Drosophila melanogaster: one gene and its partners. The protein of the gene in region 4 interacts with the protein of the main gene of each other region in a pairwise test. Each region holds a gene or a part of one and is shown on either strand. Other genes may lie near its edges.

Region 1 (8,108 bases), on a different chromosome or scaffold from region 4:
GCCGCCCGGCCAGTGGAAAGCCACTTTAAATATACACCAACCACAACCAACAAACCACAAATTGATAGATGCGAATTGAGAAGAGCGTAAAGTAAATATCCTATTCATTGCAAAGCTAATTATTCGAAGCAAACCAATCAAGTGACCCGAACGATCGACGACACACAGGCTCTTATTATCAGGAATTTCGAGTTATGGATCCAGCGGCATAATATATTTGTATAATTAAATTAGTGTTACAATTCTCACGACGTCCTGGGGCGCACTCCGCTGCTGCCCGCCCACCACCACCGTGTGCTTGGCGATGATAAGCGCTCTACGATTCGATTAATGATTAGCGACTAGCGCGAATGTGAATGTGAATGTGAACCGAACCGAACCGAACCGAACCGGCCATGTGTTAGGCTTTGTGTAAATGGCTGGTTCCAACGCCTTGCGCTGAGCAAAAAGCACGGCATTGATAAGAAGGAGCAGATAATGGCACGCCAGCATACATACATATATTTAGTAAGAACATAGTTAAGCATAAGTATGAAAAGCTACAAAAAACAAAACAAAACGAAAGCAACCATTTAGCAAGGAGAGGAGCAAGGAGATTTGGCGGAGGAGCCGATAACAACAATAATGAAATTAATGGAGTAAACCAATTAAATCCATGGAATTCCCAAATCTAAAATAAAAGCTAACTTAATACGTTTTTATTTGAATGAAAGAGTAACAAATCGATTGTAATATTGTATTTCTTGTGGGCGTAAAACATCGACAAACGCTCGACCCGTTTTACTAGCATTTAAAACAACTATTATTTAAGAGCATTTTAAACATGAAAAAAAGAAAATAAAATCGGCAGCTACGCGCTTCTATCAAAAGCACAATTGTAAAAAGTCAATCCAGCTCAGCTGCAATGAATGAATGAAGTCTCCCGAATGAAAATGTTAAACGAAAAAACCCCAACAAAAAAAAAAAAAGAAAACAACCAATCATTAGCAAATTTGTCCAAAAAGAAAAGCCCAAATTTTCGGTTTTCGTACAGTTTATTTTCTCTGATCTCGGTTGGGCAAGGGAAATTATACTTACGATTCGAATCGATTTGAAAAGATACGATACCTATGGTGATGATGTTCTCAATGTAAATGTTAAGATTGATTGTGTGATTCACTGGCTGCTGCGCTTGAAATCGAGGCCTTCAAAAGCGAGTAAAGTACGCGTATCTCCAGCTGAATCCCTTTAGATATTTGTTTGTTATCCTTGTATCCAGATATATATTTGTATTCAGCACAAGCCCAGTCCAGTTTGGCCAGTTAACACGCTGGCAGAGAGAAGAGGGATGAGGATGAGGATGAGCTGGCGGAGTCACCACAAACATTTCAATATTATGTAATCATAAATTATGTATCTAATTGTATGTAATATGTATATCTCCATATATGCTCACTCTGATTAGCTCCACATATGTATGTTTGTATATAAATACGCAATTATCGAGTTGAACACTGAAAAGAAAGCACGTTTCGCAAGTAATGGCTAAATTGTAAAGACTACCACGTATGGAAATTAAAAACTAAATATACCATGTAATAAAGGATAATTGAATTCAAGCAGTAAGCAACTACGGTTAACATTTTCATTGTACCATCGGCATATCCACGATATCCTTTGCCATTTCCGGTGCAGCCTTGGAAAGGATGAAACGCAGATGTGGAGCCACGTATTTATGTATGCATGAGCCTTTGTACAATGTCCTAGAGATTCGATTAAACTCCCGCCCCTAAGATATAATTTTATAACTGAAATTATTTACTAAACCAAAATAAAAACAAATGAGAAGAACTCTAACTTTAAAAGCATGCGAAACAATGAATGTAGGAAATCAAAAGTGAAATAAAGAGTTAAGACAAAAACGTAGTGGTTACACATCATTTGACCAGCATTGGTTTTGTCCACTGGATGAAGGGAGAGTGGGTGGATTCGTGGTTAATGAGTAGGCGATAGATCTGATTTATTCTTCCCAAAGACACAACGCGTCTGTGAACAAGACGGACACACTGAGCTTAACCTAAGTATCTATAACGACAAACTAACTATATGGGTTTTTCTTTAGCTGGGGAGAATTCTAAAAATAAATAGAATTAATATAATAATTTAGTTCGATTAAATGTTCGGCCTTATGCAGGGCTCCTCGGAATCACTGCATCATTTGTCCCACAGCCCCAGCTCGCGCATCTTGGTCTGGAAGTAGCGCTCCAGGGAGTTGGCACACCGATAATACTCGGTGTCGGGCGAATTGTAGAACCGACAGTTGGAGAAAATGCGCGCCATGTCCGCCATGAACAGGCGGCGCGTTTGGTAGTAACCCTTCTTCAGGCGCTCGCCCATGGTCTTCAGGTCCATGGGATATTTAATGTGATCGTAGTAGTCCGGAACTTCGGCCGCGGTCACCGGGCGCAGGAAGGGCCAGGCGGTGGTGTGCTGGCGCACGGATTGCAGCACGGATGCAAAGGACGTGGCCAGCTTCTCCGGATCGGTGGATTCCTCGAGGGGTCGCGATGAGCGCGCCGGACGATTTTGCGGCTTCCAACCGATCTCCCGCAGACCAGGAATCGATTCCACGGGAATCACGGGCAGGCCCTCCTTGAAGCAAGTCAAGCCGGGTCTTACTTTCTGCACCTCGTTGTGGCGCTGTGCGATCAGCTCCTTCAGAATCTCGCTCTGACTGCGAATTACTGAAAGGAAGAATTGGAGTGTAAAATGGGACCATGGATTCCTTGTCCATTCTTTGACTAACCAGCTATGAACTGCGTGTTCACAATGCTTGGATGCAGCTCGCAGTGCATGAGAGTAGCACTATCGTACTCCTTGATGTAGCCCGCATAAACTGGTCGCGCCAATTTGATGTCCTTGGAGAAACCCTGCTTCTTGAAGTACCCGATGGCATCGCAATCGGCGAATGTGAGCAGATGCTTGATACCCCTCTGTATGCTGTAGTCCTTCAAGTGGTTCATCAAGTGCGTGCCATAGCCCTTAACTTGTTCCGACATGGTGACCGCGCAGAAAACGATCTCGGTGAAGCCTTGCGACGGAAACGGGCGGAAACAGATGCCGCCGATGGGTTGGTTTTCCTTGATGAGCGCCAGTGTTTTGTGCTTGGTGTCGAAAACCAACTGGCTGATGTACTCGCGCGGCATCTCGGGTAGCTGATAGGCAAATACGAGCTGCAGGCCCAGTAGCCACAAAACAGTCTGCTTGTCCACCGGTTTGGTCAGCGAATTGCCCACCACATGGAACTCAATGGCTCGCTTCTGCTCCTCCGCCTTGACGTTCTCATCCCGCGACACATTAACCGGAAAGAGAATTTCCGCTTTGTTGGTGGTCTTCGACTCGGACACCGATTTCATGGCGCGCATTACTACATCCGCAGGCAGGTCATCCAAATTCTCACTGCGGCAGGACGATTAGTAAATGTATTGAAAGAAGAAAAAACTGATTACCAACCTGCTTGGACGATCGGTGGGCTCCTTTTTGATTCGCTTGTGGAGCGGTTCACCCACACTGGTCCTCTTGTTTCCACCAATGCTTGCTGCACTGGGACCAATGGGTACATTTGCCACCTCCTGGTTACGCTTTCTCTGCTGGATGACAAAGGAATTTGACGGGCGGTAGCTGGTATCCCAGATGGGCGAATCATCCTTGAGCAATTCGGCGCGAAGCGTTTCCAAAAACTTCGGCATCAGCGTGATGATCGAACGCTTGTCCTCGGGAAAGCGATCCCGCTCGGAGATGCACTTCTTTTTCAGCTGCTGCGACATGCACTGGAAAACGGTGCGCAGGAGCGTTCGTCCAAACACTAGGGACGTTTCACATTGGCGCAGGGAGTTACAGAAGGCGGGCACGTGGCAGAACACCAACCACCTGGTGTAGTTGATTTTGTAGTTAGAGGCATCCTCGTGGGTGAGATCTCCTCTCCTGGTCGACGGCGATTCAAAGTTGTAGTGGTTCAGAAAGTTCAAGAACGTCTTGGCCACCTCGGTCATGGTTTGGAGTTCAGGCGTGCTCAGGTGATTGTACTTGTAGAAGACCAACGAGAGCACAGCCTTGGTGATGCACGGCGTCTCGAATGGTGGATCGCCGAGAGGACCCCGGATGACCGCCTGCTGGCGCGTGAGGACGCACTGGCGCAGCAAACGGAAGAGGTACTGGTACACCTTCTTGGTGTCCTCGTCCTCGACGCGCTGCATGGACATGAATAGGTTCTCCATGTCTATAATGGCGCCCAGTAGCTCGTTCATGCTGGAACTGGATATATTGTCCAGATGGGCTATGTGCGATCTCAGCGAATGGCGACAGCTGGTGTTGCGGCACTCCTCGTTGAACTCCGGACAGTAGGAGGACTCGACGTCACGGTGGCGATTTTCCTGCGGTGTCTTCCAGCCGGTGCAACGGCATCCCTCAGACTGGCAGGCGGAATACATCGACAATTTGGCCAGTTTCTGTGGCACGGGCAGATTGAAGACCTTTTGCTTTCGCTGCTGAATGCGCTGTAGGCTGTTCTGGCGCGTTCCCTCTGCCGGCACACTGCCAGCGCCGGACGCAGCTCCTCCGTGTCCTGGATTCTGGGCGCTGCCAGCGGCTCCAGATGCACCAGCGGTTGCTGCGCCATTCGCTGCCTGCTGCTGCTGTTGCGCCGCAGCGTTGCCCGTGTTGTTACCATCGATTGGTTGGCTTTTTATCGTTATGGATGGACCACCAGACATTCCAAGATCGGCAGATATTGCGATTCTCTTCGTTAGTTTTGAACAAAGTGTACTTTTCCTTAAATTTCACAAGCGATACAACGAGTTTGCCCACTTGCTGTGCGCAATGATGGTGCTGCCAACCTGGCGTTTTGTGCAAATGAATTTCTCTCGGTGGTGAAATAATGGTTGAATATATATATTCTATTAACGATTTTACGTTTGTCCATATAGTGTATACTCGTATTATCTGGTGACAATGTTTTTAGACTTTGAATTTAATAAGTAAAAATTAGCAGGGGCGTAGTCAAAACAACTGAAAATTTGTAAGGGGGTTAAAAAGAAAATATTGCGCGGTTCTGCAAATTAATGTGACCCTGGTTTTAACTTATAATACAATTGTGTGAAAATTGCTCACAAAATTAATTTTAATTAATATTATTTGTAAGAAAATACGAAGTCTACGCCCATGCTCACAACTGTTTTTTTTTTTGGCGCTAATGCAAAATGCACTGCAATAAAGAAATCCCCTTTGAAATCGCAGACTAAGCAAATAGAATGGATTTTAATCAGAGTTTCGAGGACATAGAAAGCCAGCTGGATAACTTCGTGATACGCAAGAATCAACAGAGTGAAAAGTCCACGGGCAAATGTGGTCCGGAGGTCCACGACAACGTGCCGCTGACCATATCCCAGATTGAGCGCGCAACTCAGGATCCGGAGAACGAGAATGTGTTCATCACAGACGACGTGCATCCGATTCACTTCTGCACCTGCATCATCTACGCCTTTGTAACTGGCAATGGAACGCACAACGAGTCGTTCATGAAGTTCATGATCGATGATGGCACCGGCTCCCTGGAGGCCAGCATCACCAAAAAACCCTTCAATGGACGCGTGATCAGCAGCCTGTACAGTGAAGCCAGTTCGCTGGCCTCGTCCGAGGCCTACAAGAGCATTGCCGTGAGCATGATGCGGCTGCTGCAGGTCTCCATGGAGTACATTGATCCCACGCGCATCTCGAGGGGCCACAGCCTATTCCTGCGCGGTCGTCCGAATAGGTTCCGCGGCAAGATGGGTCTGGACGCTTTTCAGTTCTTCATAGACAGCGGCCGATCGCGGAATATGGAAATTGGCTTCGTAGACTACCTAACCGACTGGCAACGAAGGCATAAAACAATGCAGAATACAACAAATAAATAGTATCGTTGGTTTTTTGTATTGAAATTTTACTGGTAATAAAAATTCAAAAAGTTTTAAATAAGGAGAATTTAGGTTGTTTTTGCTCGTATGGCGGCACGTTTGCCGGTGACAGCCTGGAAACCTGACTTAATGCTGGCCACCGAGCAGCGGGAGCCACAGGATTCGCACTGCAGGAAGAAGAGACGCGTGTCCTTCTGCAATATCGTTTCCGGGGAGCGGCAGGTGTGACAGGTGACGTACTCCTTGATGTAGCGACGCAGCACATTCTCGATCTGTTTGGGCTGGAAACGGCCCTTGATGATCAGCTGCTGGTTGCCGTCCATGGAGCCACTGGTACCCAACTCGGCCAGCAGGAAATCGAGCAGATGCTTGGGCAGGCGATGCAGCGTTTTCGCAATGTCCATGAAGTTGGCAAAGGAGGTCTTCTTGGTTCCCACGCGCAGCACCTGCGGCGGTCGCATCACGAACTTTGGCTTTCGGCCGGCGGCCATGTCCGGATTCTTGTCGAGAATGATTTCGAAGACCCGCTTCAGCAACTCGTCGTATGTGTAATCGCGGTCGGAGCCAAACCAGGTTGAGCTGTTGTCCTCGTCTGTAAACGGATGAAAACGTTATTTAAAAGGGTATGGTATAAGCTTATTTGCTAAGTGAGAGCTTTGAAATCTGGAGTCTATTTAAAGTTGGAACAGCTACATGCTAACTCACTGGCTAAGCATTTCTAGTTCACTTCATACACTGAGTTTTAATGCTTCGGAAAAGGCGAAAGCCAAGTTATACACTTTAAGAATCGTATAGCTTTGCCTTTGTCAAGTGACAACAAGCTTATATGGCTGCCAATCTTGGTTGGGATGATTCTATAACCCTAAGCTTCCCTGGCTGCTCTGCAATTCGTCACCGTACCGTTCTCTTTGTCTTCGCTCTTGTCGTCGTCCGCTTGGTCCGCAAACAGCTCGTCCAGTTCCTTCTTCTTGCTCTTCTTCTTCTTTTTGGCCATCGAGAAGTCCATGTCCAGATTGATCTCCTCCTCCTCGGGCTCCTCGCTGGCGGCCACATCATCGCCGCCAAAGCTGGGTATGGCCGCTTCGATTTCGTCCATGTTGAAGGGCTTCTTCTTCTTTTTCTTCTTCTTGCCGAAACTCTCCAGATCTAGATTATCCTCCTCGGCGGCGGCACCTCCTTCCGCCGATGCCTCATCCTGGGGATCCTCCTTCTTGGTGTCATCCTCCAGACCCAATGCCGCGTCCAGATCGAACGTGGTCTTCTTCTTCTTCTTCTTTTTCAGCAAAGTGGGATCAAAACCCTGCGAAAATCATTGGAATTTCAATATGGTTTAAATCCGGATCAAGCAAACATAACCTCAATGTTCGCCCAGTTCTCATACACAAATGTGTAAATACACACATACACATACGCAAACAAGGGCGCACATGTACGATAATATGCGAATTTTCCACGCAAGTTTTCCGCGTATGAAACGCACTAGCCGGTGTTCCGGGAACTTACGTCTTCCGCGTCCATTGTGTCTGGGCTGTTTGAATACTAGTTGACTGGAAACTAATTTTGTTTTAACTAAAAAAACTGCAATTGCATCAGCCAAAGTGACAGCACGGCAATCAGACGGTGTGACCGGCTGAGTTTTAGACGAGTAAACCATCCGGCATGCGAAAATATACTTTTAATACCATTTGCATAGATATACCGAGTATTAATAATATTCAAGTAAAACTTTTTTATAAACAATTGCTAAATTAGTTAGCTAAATTAGATAACTTTCGAACTACGAACAGTTAACATTCAATAACTCAACTCGACTTTTGAACGTATGCTTTAATTAACACAAGTATAACAGTTTTGAAGTATTTGCTTACATTGTAACAGTTAACAGTAGTCCTTATCAATTACTGTCCTACATGTCTCCGCTACTGACCGCCAGATGGCGCGTTTCAATTCTGCCAGCTCCATTAACATTTATTAAAATGTTAAGTTTAAAAATAAAAGTTGGCAAAATTTTAATTTATTTGCCGGGACAGTGATTTAAATTTGCCATAAATTGTGCGTACAGCATAGTAAATTCCAAATGAAGTGAAAACTGATTTATATTCGACCTAAAGTAAAAGGATCTTTAGATTGTTTAAAAAATACTTTTATAGAAAATAGCAATACAAACTTGATTAG
Region 2 (5,540 bases), 780 kb from region 4:
CTGGTTTTATGTGGGTTCCTTGCGGGGCTTCGGAGGATTCCAGTTTTTGAATTTAGATTGAGAGGATCTACAAGAAAGCAGTGGCGACAATTATTCATCAGTTGTTATACTCCTCACATTAGAAAGGAAAAGTAAAGCGGATAAAAAGGATACTGAAATTGCAGGGCAAAAATTGCAGGGAGAAGGACATGGCATTTCCTTCTTTTGTTTTCCCTGCTCTTTCCTAGTTCTCTTCTTTTGTATTGCCCGCGATTACGGTTCTTTCTTTTCGCCATTCCGTTTGCCCAGCAAAAGGCTAGAGAAGAGAGGCGCACATAAAGAGAGGGGCTCCCTGCACTCGGCCCCCGCCACAACCCTCTTCAATGAGGCAACGAATTATTCAATACAATCGTACGCGAGCCATCGAATAATTACACTTAGCAATAGGACTTCAGCGGGGCGTCGAGGGGTTAATTGCGATTTTCCCCGCAGCAGCGATACCGCTGCACAGTAAACATTTATTTTTAACTTTTTCGGTTTCGCGAAAATTTTCAACTCGACGATGTCGTGGGCTTTTTGTGCAACCGCCTCTGCCCCCTCACCGAAAACCTCTTCTCCTGGCCCTGCTCCCGAAAAGCAAAGCGCAGATATGCGCGAGTGTTGCCGTATTTACTGAGGGTCTCAGTTAGCAATTGCTCATTATTATTTCGTGTTATTATTATTACAGCTATTGTTTATAAACATTTGCATCCACTTCACACACACGGGGAATTATGCAGACTTTTCGCGTTAATCATGTCATGAGCACTCAGTTGGTGAATTACGCTTTTTCTCACATACATCTGGCAACGCCGCCAGTCATGGCACAGTGGCGGCCGTACAAATAGACGCGGTCCCCATTTGGTTAAGAAGAGCTTTTGCAAGAACTTTGGGCAGACAGGCTGATTTGGGCAGCTGGGAAATAACAGTAGGTCTGTTTTAGTTTTGTCACTATTTATATGCTAATGCGTTGTCTGTATCTTGCTCTTGTTTTTCGGCACATTGTTCATCGGCGCGCAATTTTCGTACACCCATCTTGACATATACACAAGCATTTTGCACTGGTGTGCTATGTGTCTATGTGCAGACACCAATATGTGTATTCTGTTCTACGCAATTGCAAATTGCGCCTGGGATCTGATCTCTTTTGTTCGCCGCGATATTTCGCACAAGATGCTCCGCTCGCGATGTGTTATTGTTGTTGTGGGGCTGCTGTATTGCAGTTTTACCGTTTTGCTTCACACCGATTTCGTTAGGGATTTGATAAGTTATTGATTCGTTCTATTTTGGGGATAACACGACAACGTACTTTACTTTGGTGCGGCATTGGCTACTTTACGATAACTTTATAACACTAGACCTCGAAAATGAACAATTGAAACGAAAATAAGTTATATTATATCGAGTGAAAAGCTTTTCCTGACCTGCAGTGCGACCGTTTGCCGCTTGAGCGCAAAATACCGAATGTCGATAACTACAGAAGTTGGAATTTATCCGAAAATCCACCCTTGGAAAATTACATTGTCTTGTCAATTATTTTCTTTATTATTAAAATAGTTTTTCTTAATCCTCTAGCTTTTCTGGTGGTGGCCCACATGGCTGCAGCATTCGCTCCATCAGATTAAATCGCACTCGTGCCTTCGATTCATTTTCCGCTATGGCAAAGTAGTTGAGAATATCGTAGTGACCCATGTAGCTGGCCAAGGAGTCGCGATGTTGATTTGTTAGCCACTCGAACTTTGTGGTATCCGCGTGTCCTGTTCCGATGTACTTGCTTTGTAGATGCTCCAGCTGGCTGTGGATATTGTAGCGTTCACCCATTTTGCTTAAGTTGTTTCAGTATTAGGCGAGGAATAGTTAATGTGCAGTGTGTTATTTTGTTGTTTGCGTCTTGGTGTGGCCAGAAATTTTGTATGTTGGTATTTTTATTACTTTAGTACATGACACTTTGGTATTTTAGTACACAGGCGGCAAACTTGGTATTTAAAATCGTAATATTTGTTTACATTTCGCTGTCATTTATAAATTATTCATTTATCAAGTACTTTGATAAGCAATGTGTGGACGCACCTGTCTGTAGGTATATAATTTTTTCTTTCACCATTTCTATTAAACGCCTCTTCAGAACTCTAGACCCTGATCAGGTAATTTGTGCCTGTAAATATCCAAAAAAATCTACTCGAAAGGAGCCGGATTTCAAAGAGAAAGATGATATGAAAGATGGGGAAGGATCCGAAATGGAGACTCCCGAGTGGAGGGCGGAATACAACCTGGGTAGACGCTACCAGGCCTCCTACAACATAGCCCCTACTGATATTACGCCCGTGATCGTGTCCGCAGCTCATTTTTCAGACGCCGAGGATCAAGAGTGCGCCCGCGTGGTAACGCCCATGATGTGGGGCATGATTCCCTTTTGGCACAAGGGTGACTATCGGCGGCATGGCCTTACCACCAACAATTGCCGTCTGGAACACCTGATGGACTCCAAGCTCTATCGCGGTCCCTTCAAGCGAGGTCAGCGGTGTGTAGTTATTTGCGAAGGATTCTATGAGTGGCAGACGGCTGGACCTGCGAAGAAGCCATCGGAGCGTGAGGCTTACCTGGTATTCGTACCCCAGGCGGCGGATGTGAAGATCTACGACAAGAATACATGGTCGCCCCAGGATGTGAAGCTTTTGCGAATGGCTGGACTTTTTGACGTCTGGGAGGATGAAAGTGGCGACAAGATGTACAGCTACAGTATTATCACCTTCCAGTCCAGCAAAATTATGTCCTGGATGCACTACCGCATGCCAGCGATCCTGGAAACCGAGCAGCAGATGAATGTGAGTAAAGCATTTGTTAATCCTTCGTTAATCCAGGTCCAATTTACCCATCCTCGCATATTCTAGGATTGGCTGGACTTTAAGCGAGTTAGCGACAAGGAGGCCTTGGCTACATTGCGTCCGGCTACCGAACTGCAGTGGCATCGTGTTACCAAGCTGGTAAACAACTCGCGAAACAAAAGCGAGGAGTGCAACAAGCCGATCGAATTGGCGGCTAAGCCCGCAAAGCCACCGATGAACAAAACGATGATGTCTTGGCTGAATGCCCGTAAGAAGCGGGAAGATCAAATCAAAGCAAAACAGAGCGACGATGAGGATCAGGAAAAAGAAGCTACGACCATGGGAGGGACCTCCGCTGACGGCTCACCCGTAGAGAGGCCCGCCAAGCGACCCAGATTCAGGGACTTTAAGAGGAATCGTACGGCAGCTCCCCCGCAGAGCAGCGGCAGCTAGATGAAATCGGGCAAAAGATAAACCTCATCAGTAACTAAAGTTCCATAGTTTGTAGTACATTAAGTTTATTTTCAGTAAAAACCAAAATTTTTATTCTCAATAACCAAAGTTTTAAGCATTATCATCGTTGTGGTGAGCTTACTTACAAATGTTGGGACTTAGCGACTAAAAAGTTGTTTAGAATTTGTTCTCTCGAAGTGAGGTTAACTAACTAATGTTATGTTTGAACTTGACGTAATTAATTAAATGGTCTCATTTCTGCGAGTGCGATTCAATTTTGAGCGCCACTGTATTGAGCTTGGAAGTTTTTGTTGTCGCGGCATAAAATGCAATTAAAACAAAATGAAAAGCTGCACATAAAGCATGTAAAGTGTACATATCGACCGTATATTGTTTGCTCGTCTACGTCTGATTGCCTTGGCGAAAAATGAGCGAAAATTAATGGGAAATGGTGTCAATGTTGTTCGCGGGAAAAGCGTGGAAGTGGTACACTTGCTGAGTTGCTTACAACTATCAATTTGTGGTATATTAGGCTACGAATTGTTTAATTATTTATATATTTATACGTTGTATGAACTTTAAAATGCTCAATGACAAATACAAATGAATACTCTGCACACAGCGTGTCCACATATGAACTTAATCCTATATAATCGATGAGAAAGTTTAGAATTCATGGGCTATATAGCGGTGTAAACACATTGCCTTTAGTTACGAACAATCGTAAGGCCTTAATTGTAAATACTTTTGCACGGCCAATGAGCGGGTTAAGTGGAGGCGGTGGCGGGCGGGCTAATGGATACGGGAGGTGGAAGTGAAGAAGACGTAGCACACAAAAATAAAGATATCTGAATCGTGTACGTGACTACCCCTATGTACTTAAAATGCTATTTACGAGATTACAATTTGCATGCGTTTGGCTGAATTATTTCAACAATGTAAGATGGATTGCACTTGAGAAGTGGTTAAGAGAGACACAGATTAAGTTGCGGGACGGGGGAAGAGTGGGAATCGAAAGAAATGGTGTGGGTATTACTCGAACGGCGTGCTGAACATATTGATATTCAGATCCTCAAACGTGGTCGGCGTGTGATCCAACATCTGCAGCATATCTGAGAACTCCTGACCCTGTGGCTGTCCTGCTCCTGCTGGTCCACCGGGATGAGCGTGCGGATGGTGCGGATGCGCCGTTGGGTGCGGCGGATGCGGGTGTCCTCCAGCCTGCTGCCAGTCCCACATTCCCGGCGCATTGGGTGGCGGTGGTGGTCCCGCCTGATATGCTCCTGGCTGCGCTTGCTGGCGATTTCCGTTTCCGGCACTCAATTGTGTATAGGTTGGACCGCTCGGCGACCTGGCCGGACTCGTCTGCTGATACTGATAGCCTTCGGTCACGGGCTGCTGCTGCTGTTGTTGCTGCTGGGGACGCAGTGCTGCCCAGGAGTTGGGTGCCACCGGCGTGGGTGAGGTGCCAGACTTGGGTATCTTAGCCAACGGTGATGGTCCGCCAGCACTGTACGGCGAGTGTGTGGTGTCGTAGGTATATCCGACTGGTGTGGTTTGCGCCGATCCTGGCCGTTGCTGTTGTTGCTGCTGCTGTTGGGGCGTAGGAGCCTGCATGGCCAGCATGTGCGTCTGGTACATGCCATCATTCGTGGCGCTGCCCACTGGAGTTAACTCGCGGCGCGCATAGTCCACTCCTGGGGCAGCCTGAACATAAACGTGTTGCTCCTGCTGCTGTTGTTGTTGCACTTGCTCGGGCGTATGAGCAGCCGCCGCATCCAGGGGAGCACCGTGCATGGTCTTCCCAGAACTGTTGGTGCACACTATATATTCCACTTCGTCGGTATATGGATTCAGAAAGGCATAGGCCTGTGTGCGGAGCCAAACGTACTCCGAATTCTTAGCTCTGGCTCTGTACAAAAGCGAGAACATCTGTCCCTTTTGCTTGAGCACCTGGTCAAAGCTCTCCTTCATGTGGCTCTGGTCCTCGGGATGAAAGAAATCGTAGCAGATCTTCCCCAGCAGCTCAGTAGGAGTATATCCCAATATGTTAAGGACACGCTGATCCACAAACGTGAACTTGCCATCCATCGCATGACGTGTGATGAACTCACTCTGATTGTTCGATCCACTCATATCGTTGGCTGCCGTGGAGGTGACCTGCAGACGGCCGATGGCCACCAGGCAGCAGTGCGAGCTCATGTCGTCCACATCGCGCTCCATGTGCATGTTGGGGAACATATC
Region 3 (7,920 bases), on a different chromosome or scaffold from region 4:
TTTGAACATAAACATTTATGCTTTAAATAAAAACAAAACATTGTTTCTGTTTAATTTAAGATTATTTTCATTTTTAATATTTCTTATTACTTCACTTAATAAATAATAATTAAAAAAAAATATTGCTTATATAAATAAGGAGTATTTTAAATAAATCATAACAAAGTTATATCCGAATTTAATTTATACCCCCAATTTATATACTTTTGTCCTCCGATGTATGGAAGAACATCGATGATTCCTCGAAAAACATCGATGCTTGTGATTGTTTGAAAAGATCGATGATATCGATGATGTCATCGATGTTTCTCCACCTCTAAGTCAGATTGCCTATTGAAATACAAAATAAATGAGTACTTCCTAGAAATCAAATGTTAAAGAACACAATATGTCGCTCGGTGGAGAAAGTAAGCACACGCCAAAGTCTTCCAATCTGAGGCCGTTGGACGACGACCAGCTGGTTAGGATCATCAGCACGCCACGTCCGTCAAATGGTAAAACCCATGCAAACTGCGCGTTTGCCAGAATGCCAGAACCAAGATTCAACTCCACTTTTCCACGCAATATGGCAAGGAGTGAGCCAGCATCCCGCCCAGGACCGCCTCAAGCGCCTGCAGGGCCAACTAAAGCGGGTGCAGGACAACGAGAAGGAGCAGGGGACCACCAAGCGGATCACCCACAGTTCCTCCGCATCTCGTCGATCAAGTGCGTCCACATCTACGCCCCAGCGACTCCTGAAGTTTCCGCCTAAGGTGGCGATGAATGCCTGGGAAAAGCCAAAAGCCCTGGTCGATGCCAATCGCCTGAAGGCGGGACGTACCCAAACTGGTGAGTGCCCGGTGCATATAGTTACTCATATCCCATGTTCTCCTTATCGTCTCCCTAGCCTACCAGCGTCTCATGCTGTTAAGAGCTTCGCTGCAGCAGAAGCAGCTATATGAGGAGCGCAACAACAATATTGTGGCCAAGATCAACGAAGAGGTGATAGAAAAACAACCAGAAGCCTGCAACATCACAAATCCAAGTGCATTTGATGGCTCGACGGCCAGCGATATGGAGGTCGAGCCCATGGAATGGCAGGAGTCTATTGAAGAGGAGGCGGCACAGAATGATCAGGATGAGGCTAAGAAAGGGGACGACACTCTATTGATGCTGCCGGCGGAGTCCATTGAAGAGGAGGCGCCACAGAAAGGTCAGGATGAGGCTAAGGAAGAGGACGACACTATATTGATGCTGCAGGCGGCCGATGCCGAGGAGCTGCCCCCAAGGCTTGAGGATTACATGTACTTTGTGCTGGACACCAACGTCCTCATACACAACCACAAGTTCGTGGAGAGACTGACCGATGTGGTGCTGCCGGGCACGGTGGGCAGCATGCTGTACCTTCCGTACATAGTAATCAAAGAGCTGGACAAGCTAAAGAGCAAGTACCAGTCGGACTGCCTGCAGCGTGTGATTGCCATGCGAGCAATACGCTTTTTGAACACCAAGTTCGACGAAAGCTTTCAAATACAAGGTGGGTCGTGGATTGTGTATGTAAATCGTTGGAACTTACCTATGTGTATTATCTTTGTTGCAGCTCAATCCGCTTTGGAGGAGGCGGATCACCTGATCAAGATCGACTGCCCGGATGACAGCATTTTGAATTGCTGCCTGCAGCTGCAGGCGCAGGTTCCCCACATGATCCTGCTCACCAACGACGCGAACCTTCGGCTCAAGGCCAATGCCTCCAACATTCAGGTCTCCTGTCGCTCTGATCTGATGTCCACCTATGTGGATGAGTTCGCTGGCTTCGGCGATTAACTCGATGCCGTCCGAGCTCCCACCTTACATTTAGTATACGAAAGACTGTGACTGCGTTTGTGATACGGGATCGGGTGGCGGGCGAAAGGGATCGACCAGTCAAGCAAGATGCACCGCGGCATACATGAAGTACAATGAATCTTTATACCCACAAACATCATCTAGCATACATTCAGAGGAAGGCCACTGACGACGTGTTCACCCAAGACTAAAAACTTGCACATATTAGAAGATCAGATTTGACTGCCATTTGCTACGTATAATAAAGTTTGTTTCTGGATATATTTGCCTGGCGATTAGCGTTCTAGAGATAGCCAATCCGCGTGGCCCGGAAGGGCTTCCTCCGATCGAAGATGGCCGGCTCGCTTGTTTGGCTTTAATTAGCCGTACGCTGGAGTTGCCGACTTTGATTGCGCCTTATCGGCTGGGCAAACAAGATCGAAGCAACGGCAGAGGATTCCCCACATCCGCTGGAGTTCACTTGCCCGCTTCGTCGGCCAGATCGAGCTCAAAGCGTACGCAGCGTTCGCCCAGCGCGGTGGTTTCTCTCCTCCCAAACTCACTCCCATGGTGGAAAATTCTGTGCTTTACTCTCGATAGTGACGACTTTATTGCCGCGCGATAACTTAAGCTATACAAAGTGTATGTATTTGGGAGTGTTAAATAGGGTGAATCAATATTTATAGTTGCGAAAGACATGAGGAAAACAACGTGCTCGTAAAATTTTGGGAAATTCCAGTAGCGGAAAGTTTTTCAGTTCATTTAGCGAATAATGCGAATCTCACCCTCCACTTTTATGTACACAAAATCAAATTTAGCATTTAGCATGTAAAATCTACGGATATCCATTTAATTTTCAGGCAATTACAAACAAATTGGCAAAAAACTGTAGGCTTACAGAATACGGAATACGTTACTAAGCAAGGAAAGGGAAATTATGATTTTGTAAAAGAACAGTTTAAAATACGCAAACGCTACTCTCCGCCACTTGAAGATCTTATCTAAATAATTAATTTCACTTTAATCTTGAACACTACATTCTATGAGCTAATGTATCTTTGTTAATGTACAGTCTGGTGACGAAGATAAGAATACGGGTTTGGAAGCTAGTCGAAAACGACTCAAAAGTGGCGTTCGATTTGGGGAAAACGAATGCCAAAACTCGAGGAAAACTTATGCAAAACATTTTCCGCCACCATGAGCGCATCTTCCCAAAACGTCCACAACTTGGATTGCGGACACTAGAGGCTACGTGTACGTGTCGAATAGCGTGGCTAATTTACAGTCTGGCGAAATGAAAGGAGTGGCGAGTAAGGAGGAGCAGCTCCTTCAGACGCACTGCAGCTTGAGGCTAGCGTCGCGGACCTGCCTCTTTGCCTGATGCATGGCCATTAGCTGGCACCAGCCCCAGGCCAGGCTCCTGTCCTACATCTTTGGCTCTAACAGGGAGTTGCCGGAGCCGCCGATGCAGGGCAGATGCATCTGCATACGCTCCAGCTGATCCGCAAGTAGGCGCTGCTCGTTGGTCAGCCGCAGTATCTCCTGCTTCTCCTCGATGGTGTGGCCCTTGCGCTTGGCCCGATACTGCAGCATTCGCTTGTAGCACTCGAGTATCTCCTGGTCCACCATGTCCAATTTCTGTTTGATGGCAATGCGCTTGATTTCCTCACTGGCAACGGCACGCAGTCGCTTCAATTCCTCGCTGTTAAACTGCGAAATGGTGCTGATTTCGGTCGTTACGCGCTTGATCTCCATCAGCACCTCGTCCACGTCTTCGTGGGCCGCAAACTCACTGGCATCGATCAGTCCGTTCTCGATGAGAGTCTTCTTCAGGCGCTGTTCGATGCCCACGCCGTGTTTCATCATGGCGAGAGATCGAAAGTTCCCGGAAGCAGCTGCTGCGGCAGCATTTGCCGAGGACGAGGAGTGCGAGTGGGTGTTCTCGTTGCTGCTGCTCGTGGTGCTGTTGCTGTGCTCGCCCACGGCGGCCTGTTCGCTGGGCAGCGTCATCAGGGACTCCTCCATTAAGGCGGACACCAAACGCTGGGTGAGTGGACCAGTGATGCTCTCATCCACCATGCCTTCGGCCTTTTTGAGCATTCCGCTGGAATTGTTCGATTTAATTCGAGCTCCGCCCGGCTGCAGCGCCTTTATATCCTCCTGGGCCCAAACTGTGGAGTAGTGGGGACCCAGAGGTGGCACTGGCGGCACCAGTGGACCCCAATACTGCTCCAGCAGGTCATCGATTAGGCGCAGATCCTCGTTGGTTAGAGGCATGCAGTAGGGCTCCACGGATAGCCAGAACTTGTTGGGCGTATCGTTCTTGGGCACCGTCATTTTCGGTAGCTGCGGCAGCGGCTGGTGATGCGGCAGCACGGATCCAGAGGCATTGGCGGCCGCCAGTGTGGGCAGATAGTCCATGCTGTCGTCGGTGTGCACGACCAAGGGGCTGTTCTTGGCCTGGTGCTTCGAGGTGCCGCCGGAAACGCCCTGTTGCTTGAGAATGGTCATCGAAGAGTGCTTTTTGCGCACGCCCGTTGGCTCATCCCGCTTGCGCTTCGATTGGCTAGAGGATGAGGCGCCTCCGCCGCCCAGCGGGCTGCCCAGACTCGTCGACGAGTTGCTGCCGATGCCCAGCAAGCCGTTGAGCATGCTAGCCGGACAAGGTGGCGATCCAGGCACACGGTCGAGCTTTCTTCGATCCTGGCGCTTCTCATCCTTGTCGAGGCTATCATACTCCGCTTTCAGGACGCGCGTGCGCAGCGCCACATTGGAGAGCATCTGTTCCAGCTCCAGTTGCACTGCATCCAGATCCTCGGCCGCCAAATGATCATCCGCCGGACGCTGCAGTGCCGCTGCAATGGTGGGCAGCAATTTGGGCACGTCCCGAGTGCGAATTATTGGTATAACGACGCCGCCGGGCGTGGCCAGCACCTCGGAGTCCAGGAAGGTGCTCGTTGGGGCGGATTTGCCGCCACCTGTGCCATTTGTGGGCAGTTTTCCAGCTCCTCCGGATGACGCAGAGATGCCAAAGCCACCGGAACCGAGCGAACCACTGAAGTGGGCCAGTTTGATATTCTTCAGGTTCGCACTCATGGAACGCGACTGCGACTGGTTGGGGACCTGTGTGTTAGCTAGATTGCGGATATATTTGCTGTTTTTCCTGCTTTTCTTGTGTTGTGAAAATCGCAATTTGTTTTGCGTCGATATGGCAGTGTGACCGTAGCGGAAGACGGGTAAATACTAATGTACAAGATGGTAAAATACTGGAATGGGCTACACGCGCGGGTTATGCACAGTGGGCCAAACAAAAAAAATTCTCATGAGTAGCTAAATATTTATAATTTAAGACATACTTAACTAGCATTTCATTAATTAACTTTAGCAGTAATTGAAACTGTTTATTTGACTTTATTTCAGCAATTGAAGATAACGGAACATTATCGCATGGATACATTTTCATACCACTTGATTTTATCCACAAAATAGTGAAAAATACTCTCTGCAACTATAACAGTGATCGTGCACAACAGAGCTGCTCCAGCGCTGTGCAACACTGGTGGCCGCGTAGCGCGCGTGCTTACCAATACTTTGCTTTTTTGTTCAGTTCTTTGTTGTTGTTTGGCGTTCGCATTTCGCCCGTCGTCGTCTGAATTTTTTAGTGATATGCGCGCTATTTCGGTGATAAGCAGTGTACTTAACAAATCAGCGACTGTTGACAATTTGTAATGGCCAGTGGGAGCAGCTTGCGATGTTAGAGTAGACCCATTCCCCCCCTTCCGCAGACGAACTGCAAGTGCAAACTGCAGTGTATGTATGTAATTTTATGTAATTGAACACCCATTTCCCAAACCCCACCCCCCCAAAATCCCACAAAGCATGCAAACACATCCAAACATTTGAACATCCAAGCACCCAAAACATCGAAGCATCCGATAATCTCGGACTGGTTGCCTCCAATTGCGCCTCGTTTGTCCAATTGTGAGGCGCAAATCACAAGACAAGTCGAATTGACGCTCAGCCGCCACGCCCCCTTCGCTGCTCACGACCACACCCCCCCTCCCCGCGGGCGGGAATCAACGAAAATCAAAAGCCAACATCCAGCGATTCAGTTCGGTTTAGTTGGGTTCAGTCGTGCCGACATATGCACAAATATCCCAGCTTCAAAACGCTGTTTCCCTTCGATTTGACTACACTTTCCCAACTGGGCATTTTCGCTATCAGAAGAGGTTTGCAATGCCACCTTTAAGCTATGATCTATCACCGAACTGCAAAAGTTTTTTATTTTCGTTCTACGCCAATTAACTTAACTTCGACTTGTCTATTTTACAATCAAAAAGTGCGAAGTGTATTGTTTAAGTTAAAATTCGATCCCCGAGAGTTTCGGTTCTAAAGATCCTAAAATAAACAGTGAAAACAATTTAATATAAATGAACAGCGGACAAAAGTGTTTTATTTAAGCTTGGTTTCATGTTTTGTATTCCATAAGATGTGTACATTAAAGAGAAGTGATATATTCGTTTCGAGTTTCTTTTGTTTGTTCTTCAATACAAAGATAAATACAAGCTTCCCCCATCTATTATCTCAAGTAAAAAGTGATCATCAGTCTATATAGTTCTTTGTTTCTTTAGTTAATTCTTTGTTTTTGCTATTTGCAATCTTGGCAATGTGAATATCATCTGGTAGATAGAACAACTGAAAATCGTAGCTAATTTGAATTTATATCTCGTCATAGAAAGGATAGTGTACACACAAACACGTTTGTTTTGCGAGATAATCCCATCGTGGATTGCACATAATATCTAGAACAATATGTCGAACAATAACCGCGGGCGGGTAAGGGTATTTGCAGTGCCGCCAAAACCTGAACAAACCCTCCGCTCTTGTTTTATTGATCAAATATTTGCGTCTACGTGTGTCGTCGTCGTCGTCGATGTGTTCCGTTCCGGCGATGTCTCAGCGATTATGGGGCTTTTGTGTGTCAGCTGTTGTTTGAAAACGGCACTAGCACATGTTTTATAAGCCCAGTCGCAGGCCAGTCGGCTCGTTATCAGTGCCAATTAAACCGGAGAAGAGAAATCTGTAACCACCGGCGATAGTGGCGATAAGGTCGCAGCCCTGAGATGATCGGGGATAGCTTCAGCGATGCACCCACCGGCTATGTCGATCGATCAGAGCGCAGCTCCTACCATCCATTACGATTATGACCATTGTTGGCCATAAGCTAGATGGCCAATCAATCAGCGAGCCCATCTAATTTTAGACTCCACTGTTGACGTTAATTGACCGCCAGCCAGTGCCACGCCCTCCCTCCCCCTCATCAATTATCGCCCAGGTAGTATTGACCATCGGTTGCTCAGCTGGGAATGATAATCAACTAAGTGAGGGGAAAACATTATCAGCGTATCCGTATCAACGTATCAGTGCATCAAAACCGCATTAAATTCAATTAGATATATACATAGCTGATAAGAAATGTTGTAATTCCCATTTAATCAGCATTTTGTTGAGATTTACAACAAGAACTTAAACGGTTTAATCAATCAACTTGTTTCCATAACTCACCTAGGGATCGGGCCATTGATACTCATATTTTAGACTTCTTAGTGATAAATTTAAGTGCCTTAATTATTTTTCGACATGAACAATGACTATTTACGATAATTTAATATCTACTGAGCAGCTAATTCAATTGATAATTATAAATAAATATCAAAATTAAACGGAAACAAAAGAGGCTATATTTATAAAGCTTGAATATCTGCATAATGTTGATAATTAGATTTAGATAACAAAGTTGTACTTATTATCAAGATGAGATATAATTTTAAGAATTATTTTTTTTTTGCTGTGTAGGGTATTATGTGAACATAAGTTCCGGCCAGAAATCGAGGAAGGGCAGCCGTTATATGAGAGGCTTAAATGGCAAGAAAAATACGACAGCAACAGTTGGCGACGCAAATATTTGTGCAATTGATTAAAACAGTGTCCCATCCAGATCTCTATCTGTATCTTATACGTTTGCTGTTTGAACTGGCGACAAAATTTTCCAATTTGCTTAACTCGTTATGCGGGCCACGTTAATGATATAGCTATGTACATACATATGTATATCAA
Region 4 (8,219 bases):
GGTTTCGCATGCTGCTCAAGCGGCTGGTGGAGCAAGTAAGTTGACAGTCATCTATAAGTTCAGTAACAGCCAACTTACGAACACATTTTGATTCCCCAGGTTGCAGAGGATGGACGCGTTCCCATTGCCATCAAGGTCGTGTTGCGCAAGTTCGACTCGCAAAAGAAGAGCAGCCACCGTGAGACCAAACAGGCCAACATTCTACCCTCCCTTTTTAAGACCTCCATGTGTCCAGGAGAAACTGGTGTGAGCAAGGTACAACTGGCGGATGGCGCCCAGGATAAACTCCTCAAGATTGTGATGCGACTTTTTGAGCGAATTGTTGATATGAGCAAGCCCTTCAACATCACTCTACTAGGCCTCGCATTCTCCAAGTTCCAGGAGCGCAAGGTTGGCTCCTCATCAATTGCTAATTTCCTGATCAAAAAGGCGGATCTGGAGGTGCAGTCTATCACCTCACTGACAAATACGAGTCTCACAAGTCCCACAGCGGAGAGTCCCACATCAGACGAGTGCGCCTTCCGCTCCTCGCCAACAACATTCAAACCCAGCGATCAGTTCTATAGGAGAAGAGCCACTACTGCATCACCTGTGCCCATGCTACTTGATAATGGTTCCGAATCAGCGGCCACCAATTCGGATTTCAGCGACTTCTCTGAGACTGAGGTGGAACCCTCGCCGAAAAAGAGTCGCATTGGCCGATTACTTGTTTCTAAGCGCAGCCGCTTGGCGGCGGATGTGGGAGATTCCGCCGCCGAAGTAGCTTCGCCCAGCAAACTGCGTGTCTGTGATCTGCGCCTCAACTCGCGGGATAGCGAGAAAGACTTTCCCATGAGCACCACGCCTTCTACCTCTACGTCCGCGCCTGCGCCTCGCTTCCGCACCGTCCAGCCACCAAACACGTTGCTGCAACGGATCGACGGCAGTCTACGCTTTGTTACGACGCGCACTGCCAGTCGCTTGAGCTCAAATGCTAGTTCTACGGCATCCTCGCCGCTTCCTTCTCCCATGGACGACTCCATAGCCATGAGCGCACCCAGCACAACAACCTTGCCATTTCCCTCACCCACCACGACAGCGGTGGTCACCAGCAGTAGTAGTACGGCCACGTGTGATGCCCTAACGAATATAGTTTGTCCAGCGGGTGTGGATGCCGAGGTGTTCAAAGAGCTACCCGTGGAGCTGCAGACGGAGTTGATCGCATCGTGGCGCAGCTCCCTGGTGGCGGCTGTTGAGCAAACGAATGGGACCGGTGCCGCTACAAGCGCAGCTATCGCCAGTGGAGCCCCAGCAACTGCCACAACCGCCAGCGGACAAAAGAACACTTTGTATCGCTACTTTCTCCGGAATAAGTGATGCAGTGTATCCGAGCATCACATCGTTTTTAGTTATAATGGTAAAGAGAATAAATTTGTTTAAATATATGATATATTTTTGTAGGTATACGGTTACAGAGTGCATGCTTTAGGGTGCCGCATTGGACGAACATAAGCTAGGATAAATAACTAGTGGGTTTCTTGAACTGAATGAGTGATTTTGTTAAGTTTATAATACCGAAGAATGTCATTAGATAACCGCATTTTCATTTAACAAGTTTTAATCTTCGCTAATTTATAAAACATTCCATATGTGTTAACATATTAGATATTTATATATTTTTTCCAGCATTGTTTTCCATTCCTCAGCCTAGTACATTGATTATCATGCTCTCATGGGCTTTAATGAATTACGTTCAAATGCATTGTTCAGAATCTTGCCTAGAAAACTAGCTACCATAAGAAATAATATACGAATATAAATACTCAACGCGGTATTATCGCTATCAGAGGCTTACTCAATACCTTACTTCTTACATATCCTAGCGGCATTCAGTCCAAAGCGGTCTCCCAGCTGTGAGATCCGAGAAACAAGTCGCGTCCTTGTTGTACATTCACTATTACATTTATTACTTCATTTACAATTCATATCATACATATTCAATTGGTTGGGTCCCCTACTTAAGCTTAGTTAATACACAATATCTGAATCCCGACATCTCACACAAAGGAACAACACTTATTGTAATTGAGCTTGACTTGATACAAGTAAATTGATTTTCAGTTTTGTAGTTTTTACCTTGATGAAAATGCCAACGACAGTTGAACAGTATAAAAATGTCTTTAACCTATTCTAACTAATACAAAAATAAAGTGAAGTCCTTGGAAATGCATGTGGCTCTTAATCGAAGGGGAGCGGGAAGTTGGAAGATGTTCAGTGGCTCAGCCAGCCGCACTTGATAAAGAACTTGCGCAGCGAAGTCTCCATAGGACTACCCAACGATGGTGCTCCGCTCAAGCAGACAGTCTTAACCGAGAGGTAGGTGGTGGGCGTAATATTATGCTTCTTGCACAGATCCAGCTCGTTGTGACTGAGCAGTTCACTGCCCGGCGGCTGTGGCAGATGTTTTAGTTCCTCCAGCTGGGTGCGCAATTTCAGGCTCATGCTGGGCACCTGATCACTGCCTCCGCCGGCGGCCTCGTTTTGCATTTTGTGCTGGTTGCCGCTTTGCAGGAGCTGAGGATGCTGCTGCAGCGGCTGCAGATGTTGTTGGCTTCCCTTCGCCGAGTTCGTTGGCAGATTCGCCATCGTCGTAGCCGTGGAAGTCACTCCCGTCGTCGCTCCCGAGTCCACTGTTACCCCCATTACCATTCCCGTCGTCTGCAGCATCGTAGCTGCCGACGATCCCCGACAGCTATCCAAGTAGTTTTTGCTGGGCAATAATGCGCCGGAGCAGGTCGGGTCGGCGATGTGGAGCGTGTTTCTTGGTGCGATTGAATTTGAACTTGCCTCGCCGCCGCTTGACATTTCGCTAAATAAACGAAAAACCGAATTATTCAAGTTCTAAGGTAATTGCAATTTTTTGCCAAAATACTTACACCTTTCTGAGATTCGGTTGTGGGGAGTGCAAGGAAGAGCTTGGCGGCCGATGACTTCCATTGGAGGTATGCGTGTGGTCCTGTGGTTAAACATTGTCTTATAGAACCATTCGAACGCTCGTTGTTTGGCGCGTTTATTATGCAGTGGAGCTGAATATCGTGAGACAAGACGGAAAAGCGATTGTAAGAGTTGGGTCAGTTCAGGTAAGGACGACGGTTAAAGCAAGGCAGAACACACGATATTCAACTCGTCATGCATTCTCAGTGGGAAAAGCTTACTCCAAGGGGAATGAAATCGAAACTAGCCAATTTGACCATTTAATATTCTGTATTAAGTATTCCAAATCGATTTATCCAAACTTTTATCTATACATTCAACTTAAATCATTTGTTTTCTTTCAATTTAAGTTAATCTACTCATTGTTGATAAAATTATAAAGCTACCGGTTCCGGTCACCTAACACCTCTTTTAATTTTTGTGAAACAATCGAAAGAAAAGGTAATGTTTGGATTTTAATAATAAAAAAAAAAATAACAAAGTTCCAAAAAGTTCGGATTTTCAAGACCAAATAAAATATTTAATGGTTAGTTCGATTTCGGCACCCCTGTTGCGGAGCCTTAAACTTACGGTCTTGCCATGGCCATATGGTCCTGTAGAGCGGTGCGTCGCTGTTGCGGCGTGCTGCTCGAAATGTGTGCATTCCGCGATTTTGGTCAGGCCATTATACCGGTATCGGTACAGCTCTGACTGTCGAATGCGCAGTTCCTTTTCGCGCTCCAGTGATCCCAATAGCCGCTCATACTCGTTACACGTGTAGAACTGGGCGTAGACCCGAAATCTGTCCCGAAACTCGCGCTGCTCCTTGGTGAGTCCTTGTTGCTGAGCGTAATTTCTGTTTCGGAAGAAATTTGATACTAATTGATAGTCCCTGACCATCCGTTTCCTGCGAGCACGCTCTCTGAGTCGGCGGGTGTATATGTCAACGTGGGCCAGCTTAAGCATCACATCCACCTCCGTATCCTCGGAGCTTAATGAGATGTTCGAGATCAGTTGCTCTGCCGTGGGATCGTACTCCCGCTCAAAGCTGTCCCTGTTGGGCATGTAGCCCAGCTGCATGGCCTCATCGGAGTTGATTTCCAGTGGAGGCAAGGTAGAGAGAGCATTGGTGCCCAGAGGACCAGCGTCGTCGTCTCCAGTGTGATCGATAAGGCGGGGTCTCTGGCTCTGGGCCGGCGTCCAAGTGGCCCTTCCAATCGTGCCATTTACAAACTTATTCACGTACTCCTCTTTGGCATCCTCCGCTGACTTCGTCTCAATGTGCTTGCTAATGTCCTCCCAGTTTCCAAAGCCGTACTGCTCGATTGCATCCAACAGGCGGATTTCCTCTCGTGCCGTCCACGCCCCCTTTCCACGAAATACACTCAATATGGAAGTGCCGGTGTCCATGAACTGGTAGGAGTGGTTGTTTTGATGGGCGCCGATCTCCGCACCTGCGGCAAAGCACTGCGCAAAAAATAAACAATACAATATAAATACAGAGTCAGCTGTTTTTTAATCAATATGGTGAAATTGCCGGTTGTGTGTATGTATTATTTGAATGTCTAGATGAGTCAGTTTTTGGTTCCAAATTGGCGACGCATCTCTAGATTGTACGAGTGTGGGTGTAACAGGGTGGGTCGATTATGTTGACAAAGAAAACGTGTAAATAGTTCCTCGATAAAAATAATTTGATTAGGAAATTAAAACAGAAACATATTTCATATTCCCTAAATTTACGCTTTGTCAGGCCTTTTTTTAATACAAGATTCAGACACTTATTTTGACATTTTTTTCTTTTTAATTTATGGCATTTAACTAAATAAAAATGACACTGCTAATTCGTAAGGAAGTAATTTTTAATTAAATTAACTACGATAGTCTACCTATTTACCAAAATCAATAAACAAATTTCCTTTAAATTAACAAAAAGTTAAAGCAAATATTTTTCTTGTCAAGATCTGGGTGACGTTAATTTAGAGGATTGAGGCCATATGGCCATTAGTTTGACCATCCAAAGAGGGTGATTCAAGAATATTTTGTTAAAATAACTGATTTTTATTATTTACAAATCTATATACAAGTATCTAGAACCTCAAAAAGAGCGAACCACCCTACTGCAACATGTATACGTGCGTCGCTCGACGGCGTGTATGTGTGAGTTACTTACTTGCAGACACAAATCGAAGTTTTCGCACTCCGCGCAGTGCACTCGAATGCCCTGAATATCATCCTGGCAATTTGTGCAATTATACTTTGTGAATAAATCCGCGATTGTGGTCATTTTGGGCCAAAACCTGGATTTTCACGACAATTATGAGTTGTGCGAAAAAAACCTATGCCAGTAATGTGACCAGACGCGAAGTCAACGCCATATTGCTCTACTGAGAATTCTTATATGTACGGCCAACGAACCGAACCAGTTCATCGGAACAGTGCCGCCTATATAGCTAGTCTTAAAGCCTTTTTAGCTAATTTTCATAATTCTGTTGAATCTCTGAATTATAGTTAATTTCTAAATTATACTACTTACCAAAAGTACCAACACATTAAATATAGAATACAAATTTCAAACATTAGGCACATGTTCAAAACTCTAATGTTTATGCGTTAAATATTGATAGTAGTTTATTTAATTATTTTAAAAGTTTAATTCGAGTGTTTTGCCTTTTTTAAATTATCACAAAAAATAATATTAATATATATAAAATAAAACTAAAATAAAAGAAGTGCATATCAAACCAAAACAAGGTAAACATAAATACGAATATGTGATGGTTGAAACATTTGTAGCGTGGTGCTGAATAAAAATATAAAAAACTCATGTGCTTAAATGCAGTTCGATACGTAAATTTAAGCGGTGGTCAGGATTAAAAACTTAAGCTAAATTCTGAGTTACAAAAAAAATATAAAATGGGTAAATATCTTTTGTTTCAAACAAAAAGTGTAAAAGTAATAACTGCCGAAAAATATTTCGGTTGCTTACATCTAACATGAATAGGGCGTGGGACTGCCGAGATATTGTAGGTTACAATCATTACAATCATTGGGAAGGATTTGGGGTAGGCTACGCTGTATAAATAGTTGATTATTCGATTAGTTCATATGGTGAATACGTTTATATTATTGTTAGTATTGCTGTCTTACACCGAGCAGTAGCCGAATTGTTATGGGTTCCAGATATCTCAGTGGGCGGTGAGGACTAGTTTGTGTTGCATGTGGCTTTGGTGGCATTGTTGCTAGTTTACTCTTGCTAGTTAGCTTGGACCAGAGAAAAACAAAACGAGTTACACGATACAAAATGGGTTAACAGATCTTAAACAGATATGGCAAGTTACTTGTGCAGCTGCGCTTTTCAAAAACACGCACACGGCCAACAAAATTTATCAATTCGAGTACCTAAAAACGTCTAAATAAGTCTATTTGAGCGCCAAATTCGGTTTTGGTGTCGCACCTGCGTCTGATCCTAGGGACTGAAGTATGTTTAACAATACTGTTCGAGGACATTCAAGAGTTTGAGATTCACGATTTTCACAGATACGGTTCGATTTGAATTCGCTTGCGTAAGGAACTAAGGAAAAGTCACAGCGCAGGCGCGACCCCAGTCGTCATAATTGACGACTGGCAACGGAAACAGATCCATGTCCAGATCCGTCTGAACCGCCTGCTCCCAGCATCGAGACTCATAAGCAGGCGGCCGCGATGGATGGGCTCTCAAAATTTGCATAAGCGAGTAGTCCTAAAGCATAACTATCAACTAATTTGGTATGTAAAGTCTTTGTGTCTTTGTCATGGGCATTGGCGCGATGAGGGCTCAAGGTCCTGTGGCAATGGCCAACTAGCAACAGTATGACCAACATGCCGGCAGATGCCACAAACTCTGCACCATACTCACTCGGATATGGGAACCGATTCGCTGTGCTCGGTGTCTCGTCTTTGTCTCTAAACTCTCGCTGCTCATCGTCATCGTCTTGGGAAGCGTCTAAACATTGGCTAAGCTTGGCGGGGATCACTGGTGTGGTGAAGCTGGAATAGGTGCTGACATGGCTTTTGGCGGCGCTCAGCCCAACAATATGCATATGATTGCACACACTGTGCTCGATTTCGGGATGGCTGCTGTTGTTGGTGACGTTGGATCTGCAGCTACTGCTACTGGCGAAGATCGTTTTCGTGGGTGCGGATAAGTTATTGGGGTGTGTATTAATTTGCTTTTTGATAAAATACTTGAAGAGGGTTTTGTTCCTCTTTAGTTACGGTTGAATCTGCTTCTTGGGTTTTTTTAACTCAGCATCTTCGTCACGCTTAATCTCGGTGTACCGCTCGCCCTTAAGCGATACGATCTTATTGTCCCGGTAGCGAACCAGCTTGCGAGGCTCCATCTTCGGTACCACCGGCTTGTACTCGCGCTGGGTGGCATTCTTGTCAACATAGGAGTACCTAGATGGGGTCAAAAAAATAATATTTTACGTTTGGCTATTTTAAGTTGATATCCACTTCAATATACTGCTATGTTTATTTGCTTTTTAAGGTGTACACTTACCTAGCGATAATACGATTCTTGAGTTCATTATCGTCGACGATTACATTCTTCTTCATATAAGTAGTATGCGACTTGTCAGTAATACACTGGTTCGTCTCTTGACGATGCAAGAGAATCTGGGTGGCGCTATCGATGTCCCCCTTGGAAATTGCGATGCAGTGTTTGATCTAGAAATGGATTTAAATTCATTACACAGTATTACAAAATTCTTTAAATTTCACCATAAACTAATACTTACCTCGGCTATTGCCGAATCCGGAAACATTTCCTGGAGCACCTCAGTCTCGTCCAGGAAGTAGTCGCAAGTGGAGCTGGAGCTGTCGGTGGAACCTCCATCGCTAGTCTCCGAAAGATGTTGGGAACGCTTGTTGCCGCCACAGCCGCCACTGCTGCTGCTGTTCGATGAGAGCTCGTCTTTTTCGGAAGTTGACGAGTTGCGAGCACGCAGCTTGGACTCCGGAATAATGCTGGAGAGGCTCAGGGAGCTGTAAAAATATTTTATATTAAATGTTTCTGGCATAGGAATGAGAATGAAAACGTACTTTAGCGATAAGTTGACGGCGTCTGGGTTTTCCTGGGTTTTCTCCATATCGGTAAGCTCATTGGCCAGCTTGTAGATCCAGTCACAGATGATGCCCTGGTCAATGGTTGAAAACTCCTCGAAGTAGGCTCCCATCATCTCCACAAAGCCCTCAACATCGAAGCATGGATCCTGGGATGCCTCCTC

The links.
Region 1: the proteins of Ada2b (region 4) and Gcn5 interact in a two-hybrid assay, tested with the Drosophila melanogaster proteins (4 studies listed by BioGRID).
Region 2: the proteins of Ada2b (region 4) and Sf3b5 interact in a two-hybrid assay, tested with the Drosophila melanogaster proteins (one study listed by BioGRID).
Region 3: the proteins of Ada2b (region 4) and Ada3 interact in a two-hybrid assay, tested with the Drosophila melanogaster proteins (4 studies listed by BioGRID).

Annotation. Positions count from the first base shown.
Region 1 is NT_037436.4:12,519,153-12,527,260, forward strand, and holds Gcn5 (Gcn5 acetyltransferase), read right to left. Parts: upstream 4,863-8,108; 5' UTR 4,752-4,862; coding exon 3,493-4,751; intron 3,439-3,492; coding exon 2,786-3,438; intron 2,724-2,785; coding exon 2,194-2,723; 3' UTR 1,977-2,193; downstream 1-1,976. Other genes in the region: ver (verrocchio), read left to right, coding at 5,289-5,933; eIF2beta (eukaryotic translation initiation factor 2 subunit beta), read right to left, coding at 6,002-6,525, 6,834-7,233, 7,437-7,451.
Region 2 is NT_033777.3:9,013,426-9,018,965, forward strand, and holds Sf3b5 (splicing factor 3b subunit 5), read right to left. Parts: upstream 1,917-5,540; 5' UTR 1,840-1,916; coding exon 1,582-1,839; 3' UTR 1,547-1,581; downstream 1-1,546. Other genes in the region: CG11986 (uncharacterized protein), read left to right, coding at 2,075-2,094, 2,144-2,843, 2,910-3,296; tgo (tango), read right to left, coding at 4,329-5,540. UniProt on the Drosophila melanogaster protein: Involved in pre-mRNA splicing as component of spliceosome. As part of the spliceosome complex, plays a role in the regulation of spermatogonial differentiation.
Region 3 is NC_004354.4:18,082,891-18,090,810, reverse strand, and holds Ada3 (transcriptional adaptor 3), read right to left. Parts: upstream 5,051-7,920; 5' UTR 4,900-5,050; coding exon 3,229-4,899; coding exon of another isoform or gene 3,133-3,228; 3' UTR 2,393-3,132; downstream 1-2,392. Other genes in the region: Swt1 RNA endoribonuclease, read left to right, coding at 389-494, 574-828, 887-1,516, 1,580-1,803.
Region 4 is NT_033777.3:8,235,188-8,243,406, forward strand, and holds Ada2b (transcriptional adaptor 2b), read right to left. Parts: upstream 5,329-8,219; 5' UTR 5,237-5,328; coding exon 5,123-5,236; intron 4,420-5,122; coding exon 3,544-4,419; intron 3,066-3,543; coding exon of another isoform or gene 2,996-3,065; coding exon 2,916-2,995; intron 2,849-2,915; coding exon 2,251-2,848; 3' UTR 1,927-2,250; downstream 1-1,926. Other genes in the region: PolI (DNA polymerase iota), read left to right, coding at 1-35, 100-1,356; CG9636 (uncharacterized protein), read right to left, coding at 7,203-7,389, 7,493-7,659, 7,731-7,977, 8,035-8,219. UniProt on the Drosophila melanogaster protein: Component of several Gcn5-containing histone acetyltransferase complexes that regulate nucleosome organization; involved in acetylation of histone H3, particularly on Lys-10 (H3K9ac) and Lys-15 (H3K14ac).